Kluyveromyces lactis: one gene and its partner. The protein of the gene in region 1 purifies or fractionates together with the protein of each later gene. This does not show direct contact. Links are inferred from orthologs where the notes say so. Each region holds a gene or a part of one and is shown on either strand. Other genes may lie near its edges.

Evidence for each region. Proteins that work in one complex are often made in the same cells at the same time.
Region 2: the proteins of CAF40 (region 1) and CAF130 purify together in Saccharomyces cerevisiae (affinity purification with mass spectrometry; 8 studies listed by BioGRID, with this or other methods). This does not show direct contact. The link is inferred for Kluyveromyces lactis from reciprocal best matches to the Saccharomyces cerevisiae genes CAF40 and CAF130.

The regions. Positions count from the first base shown.
Region 1 is NC_006041.1:1,171,558-1,174,721, forward strand, and holds CAF40 (CCR4-NOT core subunit CAF40), read left to right. Parts: upstream 1-1,398; coding exon 1,399-2,664; downstream 2,665-3,164. Other genes in the region: SEC21 (coatomer subunit gamma), read left to right, coding at 2,950-3,164. UniProt on the Saccharomyces cerevisiae protein: Acts as a component of the CCR4-NOT core complex, which in the nucleus seems to be a general transcription factor, and in the cytoplasm the major mRNA deadenylase involved in mRNA turnover.
Region 2 is NC_006041.1:359,594-363,735, reverse strand, and holds the start of CAF130 (CCR4-NOT core subunit CAF130), read left to right. Parts: upstream 1-1,342; coding exon 1,343-4,142. Other genes in the region: SUE1 (Sue1p), read right to left, coding at 1-336. UniProt on the Saccharomyces cerevisiae protein: Acts as a component of the CCR4-NOT core complex, which in the nucleus seems to be a general transcription factor, and in the cytoplasm the major mRNA deadenylase involved in mRNA turnover.

The DNA.
Region 1 (3,164 bases):
TCCGTTCCATACAAAATATAAGAAAAAGAGTATCACGTGATGGTACACCATCACGTGACGTAAACAACCCTCAAAGCTGCGTGTTATATAGCGCCAACCGGGAACACCGCTATCCGCGTCGTTATTGCCACTTCCAGTAATTGTCCGAGGGCGAATGTCTTCCACACGAGACAATCCCCGGGTAATGCCGCACACCTTACAATGGGAAATCAACTTCCCATTGTAGTAAGAAAAAAAATTTTTTTTTCTTCCCTTCGCTTGCCCTTTCCCATGGAACGTTGTGGAAAAAACTCGACAACAGGACACCCAGAATGCAAAGGGGGCTATGTCTTAGAGCATGTCTGGGACACAGAACCGCGCCCGCCCCCGTTTTGTCTTTTGAACCGAAATAATTCTAGCTCATCGATACACCCATAGACCCATAAACGCATCAATCAAATGAAAATCAAAAACAACAATTTGGACCGCATATTCACTTAAAATGCAGTAGCAGCGGAGGGCGCGTTCTAAAAGTAGGAAACGTCTACGCTACTTTAGGATTAGCCCTCTGGACCGTGTAATGTAATGTCATACCACTTCCATGTCCGAGTGAATGTCCGTGTCTCGGTGCTGGGATGATCCCTGAGATCCCTTGCCCTCGCTCTAATACCGGACTCCCAGTTTCACACATATAAATAGAGGAAAACAAAGTTTAAGATGCGATGCCTTTTCCCATACCATTGGCGGTTGTTTTTGGGATAATTTTAATTGTTCTGTCTGACATATTTTAAAACAGCAAGAAACAACAACTAAGTAACACATACAGTTAACAATGTCTGACAAGATCGAAGAACAAAGAGAAGCTATCCAAGATAAGGTTGAAGAAGTTCAACAAAATGCTGAGGAAACTGCTCAAGAAGCTCAACAACAAGCTGAAGAGACTCAAGAACAAGCTCAAGCTAAGGCTGAGGAAACTCAAGAACAAGCTCAAGCCAAAGCTGAAGATGTCAAGAAGGAATCTCAATCTTTTTCCAAGAAATGGTTGGGTAAGTTGAAGAAGTTGTTTAACTAAAGTTAAAATAAAAACAAAAAAAGCTTCCGCTTTTTTTATTTTATTTTTAATCAACTATTAAAGTAATTCTAACATTCCAAATTATAATCTTAACCCCATTCTCCTCTATTATTATTCCTACTATCACCAACTTAATATACATCTTTATATATTGTCTAATACTTAATAATTAATATGCTTCTTCTTTTATTCAGTGTTTCGTCATATTGAACAATGTCTGGGCGTGTTTTGTTTTGTGTTTAAACTTTCGTTGTCTTATTACCCGGATTTCATAACAACCTCAGTTTCCACAACTTAGCACATCTTTTCAACTTAAAAGTGTTGATAATTCGCATCTCTGTATATATATGGTATGTAGAATAGGCAATATTCAGCATTGTCTCAGGGAAGGACACATCATCCAGCTTGTGCATCAGGTAGAACACCCGCAATTATCATCTGCCATGTTTCAACAGCAACCCCAGGCTCAAGCGGCTCAAGCTCAGGGGAATGTGTTCTCGGAACAAACCCGCAGGAAATATTTCCCACAATTGAAACCTTACTTCCCAAATAACCAAGGCCAGGGTCAAGGCCAGCCTCAAGGGCAGGCTCAGGGTCAAAATCAAACCCAGGGCCAACAGCAACAACAGCAACCCCAAAATATGCCTCCTGGTTTGCAACAAGGAATGCCCCACCCAGTAGTAGAAAACAACCAACTTCCAGGTCAGATGCCTGGGATGGGCCAAGGGCCAACTGCAGGACCAAGTTCAGTTCCTGGGCCAGGTCCCACACCAGCAGGAATAACACATGCGCTAGATGATCCAAATGTCTACCATTGGATATGCCAGCTCACTTACGGGCCAAGCAAAGAACAAGCGCTTCTAGAACTAGGTAAGAAACGTGAACAGTATGAGGATTTGGCTATCGTGCTGTGGTCCAGTTTCGGTGTGATGACGTCGTTGCTAAAGGAAATAATTTCAATTTATCCGCTTCTTTCACCTCCTGCATTATCAAACCAGTTATCAAACCGCGTATGCAACGCTTTGGTGCTCTTACAATGTGTCGCATCACACCCAGATATCAGGCCTCAATTCTTACAGGCTCACATCCCGTTGTTCCTTTTCCCATTCTTATCTACGACATCAAACCAAAGAACTTTTGAATATTTAAGGCTAACTTCACTAGGTGTCATCGGTGCTCTAGTGAAAAACGATTCTGCAGAAGTGATCAGTTTCCTTCTAAGGACAGATATTATCCCATTATGTTTAAGAATCATGGAAAACTCTTCAGAACTTTCGAAGATCGTCGCTATCTTCATCTTACAGAAAATATTATTAGACGATAACGGACTCCAGTTCGTATGCGCGACCCCAGAACGGTTCTACGCGGTGTCACAAGTTTTGGCAACTATGTTTAAGCACATGTCCCAACAACAGGTGCCGGGAAGATTATTGAAACATGTTGTAAGATGCTACCTAAGATTATCGGATAATTTAGAAGCCAGAAGATTGTTGAAACAAGTTTTGCCGCAACAACTAAGAGATAACACCTTCAATGAAGCACTACAGGACGATGTAGGTACCAAGAGATGTCTTGCACAACTACTCCTGACTCTAGATGAACAGCAGCAGTGATCTTGCCTGCTATATCATATATATCTCCATATCCATATATATATATATATATACATATATATCATAATTAAAAAACAAGTGTTACCCTCACTTTCACACACCCGCTTCACTTTTTTTTTCATTCCAAAGGACTTCTACCGATTTGCAAACTGAAAACATTATGAATATAAATATATACCATACCACACGGCAAAAAGAATTGGATAAAACACGAGGTTAATAGGCTCAAAATTGGCTACTAAAGGTTAGTACGTCATTTGAAGGTATCCTAGCACTGCCAATTGCATGTCTGCACAAACTTATAAGAAGTCTGAGGACCCACACAGTGGGTCCTTGCCAGACAAAATGGCGATCTATCAGGATTGTTTGAATCGGTTCAATGAATCTCCTGTGAATCCTAAACTGTGCCGTACCCTGATCACAAGCTTGTTGGAACTATTGTCGCATGGTGAGACTTTCCCTAGACAAGAAGCTACTGCTTTATTCTTTTCCATTTCGAA
Region 2 (4,142 bases), about 810 kb from region 1:
CTTGTTTGGTATCCGTGGATTATAACGCCACGTCCCGTTCACGCCCCCAGATAAGATCCCTCCGGTCCCGTTGGGACCGGCCATGAATGGATGTTCTGGTTCGGATGCGAAAGCTGCCTTAGACTTTAGTTTACCTCCCCCATTCTTCTCCCTTTCCACTTCTAGTTCCTTCACTTTCGCTTGGAATAGCGGGTTATCCCTCAGCGGAGACACAATAGGCCTGTATCCGCTGAACAAAATGTCAGCCGTGAGTTCTTGTGGCGCAAGAAACCTTGTCGTTGGCACGCGAGGAAGCTGTCTATACATTTGTGTGGCTTTGGACTTTGGAAATGGCATTTTCCTATGGTTGTATTATACTTTTTCGATGCTTTGATGCTTTCAACTAGATAGTAAAACCTGTTTAGATTCTTATTTGTCCGACAGTACGTTATCAGACCTTGCTTTTAAATAGTCTGACAAGAAAACACGATATTTCCGATAAACGATTTAATCCCCTGTTTCCTCTGAAAATATTAATCCACCGAGCTTTAGGAAAATCACGTAATTTCACATACTTAAATACTTAAAGCAACTAAGTAATCAATTTCGAGACGATAATCCAAGCGTTAAACCCTTGAACTATATATACTCATTTTATATATGTCAGATCAAAGGATGATGAAACCGCATATGTCATACGTTGCTCACCGAGTCAATCCGACTCGTTTTCACACTATGTCACTATGTGTCTAAATAAGACTTCACACACCCCTGGTTTTTCTTGTGTAAGACTCAAACATTCTGGGGGAAATAGCGGGCAAACCTTCGGGTACCACGCGTGTTTCTAGCTCAGTTTATGGGTGAGAATTGAGATTAGCCAAATTCTGAAAAACTAAGTAAAGAAATGCAAAAACCGGCTAACGGTATATGCAGTGTTAGCTGGTGCTCTCGGCGATATCGGATCAAGGATTGGTATCTCGGGGCGGGTGTGTGGGTGTATTACAAATGTTTAAAGGAATGTGATATTCACGTGAATATCACGTTACTGAACTTTTTTGGAGGAACCCATCTTTTTTTTTTTTTTGAAAAACACATTTACAGATATCAAATGTTATAATACTATTATAGTTTATGTTCTAACATGAGATGAGGTGGGATGAGAGATCGAATGAAATGAAGCTGGGTGTACTTTTAGAGGATTGAGCTGGACTTAACTGAGTCAGTGAAGAGGAACGAACGGAAGAGCTGCTACTGCTTACCCTGGTATCGGTCGTTTGTTTTGTTTTAAGACTCACTCTTCTGGACTATAGAGAAAACCCTTTTCTCTAGCGCCGTGTAATTTGCATACGCATTCCAATTTACCATGCTACAGGAAAAGAGTTCTGTTCAGCGATTATTTTTGGCCGATTCGGATGTTGATGAGAGCGTACTGTTAGAAAAACTCGTCATTGCTCTTTTTACCACGGTTCCTGGACAAGCGGTTGTCACACAATTGATTAATGATGCCAAACGAACAAATGACGTTGATGGGGTTGAGTGTCTGATACGAATGAACGATCCCTACTGGGTGGCACTTTTCGGTACTTGGGCAACTGATAAGCATATTTTGTCATTATTTCTAGGGTGGGTTTTAAGGAATGAAACGGATCATATCGATTTAGAGAGGTATTCAGATCAGTCGTTTAAAATGGCTATGAGATTTCTTCTCACGAATCAGGACCCCAAATTCACTGCACCACTATGGGATACATCCAACATTTTACTAGATTATTTGCATAATGCTAAGCCTTTGATAGAAAGTGTTCTTAAGAAACTTGACGGCTCGCAGTTTTTGCAATGTCTAATGAAATACAACCGATTGTATGAATTTAATGGTTCTTACCAATGGTTTACCCCTCCGCAGTCCACATCACATGCAGAATCTCCAACTACAATTTTAGAACGTAATTCTACTTTTTTATCTACTCTAGGGAATTTTGGTAATGATATGGTTCGTGCTCTCTCTCAGTTGAAAACTGGCGATATACGGCTGAATTCACTAGAATCATACGGAAAGAATTCTGGGCATAATAATCCACCGTTGTCAAAACAAGATGATCACAATCCGTTAAACTTGAATGGCAAATCTGATCGATTTAATTTGTTTTTTAAGCTTGGGTTACACAAAGAGCCTCATCCACTCCTTGCAGAGCAATTTAACTCACTTTGCTTATTTGCGGATCCCATGACTCAACCTCCTCCAAACGATTCTCATATAATTTCATTGGATTTATTGCATGACCTGTATCTAGGTTCTTTGACTGCTTATATTGTTAAACTGATACCCAATTACCAGAAAGTCTGGAAAATTCATTTGAGCGCAAATTTGGAAACTATTACATTGGCTATTTTGCAGATGTTGCAGATTTGGGATTATAGATCTCTAGACAATTTGAAAGATATCCAAGCAAGAAGCCCTGATGCATACCCTAAATACATGACATCGTGGATCCCATACGATCTTTCTCCGCCCGAAATGGAAATTCTTTATATGATTGCAGGATTATCTTTCTATTCGATGCACAAGATGCACTCTGATAAGCCGCCGAGGTTGAACCCATTCTTACCTATGATGCTTCGAGCATGGAGAGGTTTAAGTTCAGCATTAGTGTTAGGTTTGCAAATAGATAGGTTTGAGGAAATGCAGATGCTATATGGTACTCCAGTAATTGTTAGTGCAGTCATTCGTGGAGCTTCTGCGTTGCGCTCAATTATCGCAACGATTCTCAACGGTCATGTGGATGAGAAGTTGCACGATTTTAAACATCAACCTTTTGGTGGGTTCATGTCTCCTCATGGAAGGAAATTATGCAACGGGGCTCTTTACACATATGAAATGTATTATTTCGCAGCACTCCTACCATCAGGTATGGATTATGACGAAATTGTTGAATTATTGACTGATATACAAAAAGGAGATAGAATTGATGAAGATGTCAGATATATGTTTGATTATGAGTACTTTGATTACAATGATGCAGATACAAGTAAGCTAACAGATGGTAAGCTTATGTTTACATCTACTAAAAATGAACTCGAACAGAAAAATAGATTCAGAATGCTTAGGGGACTCTACAAGCGCTGCCTTTGCAAGTTTAGTGATGAAGACGACAATGATGACGATGATGACGATGACGATGATGATGACTATAATGGTGAAAAAAGCGTTGTTGGATTGGATGAGAATGGGCAGATCAATGAAGCTGAAACCCCTCAAACGTTTAGCGAAAGTAGCAATGCTGTTGCTTTCACATCTTTAATGACGCACAGAGACTCTCAAAATGATTTCGTTTCTCATCTTACAACAGGTTATGATAAAAACGGTGATGATTGGAGGGATATACCTCGTGGATTAAATCTATATTATATGGATGATTACCAATTTTTGTCTAAGTTGGACAAAGTTTCTCTCTTTGAGTTGTTGAGACGATTACCAGATAGAAACGTAACGTTTTCTCAAGCCTGTACGGTATTGAGAAGTATTGCAACATGTGTGAAGCTAGAACAAGAACAAATTCTACTGAAATTAATTACGGCCACTTCTGCAGAGGTAGATTTGAAAGTGCTTCCTTTTTCTACTGATGAAGTTATTACGGCAATTTTTAATGATGATGGAGGAATTATAAAGCCTTTTCCATTTTCAGGCTGCAATGATAGCTTAGGGTGGAAAATCTTCGATGAGTTGATGATGAGCCATGGGCACAGAAGGCTCTTAATCTATCACTTGACACATAGGTCGTACACTTTCTCGTCCATCCATTACGTGTATGAGTTGTTATTCGGTCTAAGAGGCAATCCTGCCAGGAGTTATGATTTAGAATCGACTAAGAACAAACAATTGGGGATTCTTAGCTGGACACCCACTGGAGAATTCGAAAGGGTTGCTGCAATTGAATTCTCTAGACAAGGAGTTATTGAACTTTCTGCAATTGAGAAAAAAATGTTGCTACAAGAATTTTTCGTGGGTGTGTCTTCAGGACTGCTAGGTGAGTATAATGATGCGGGTTTTGAAGCTTTTTCAATTAAAAATCCTTCAAAAGTGTATGTAGATGATTATGGTGAGGAGTTCTTCTCTGCAACATCGCGTAAGGCTGAGATGTCTGGGAAAGTAAAGATGGTGTGTT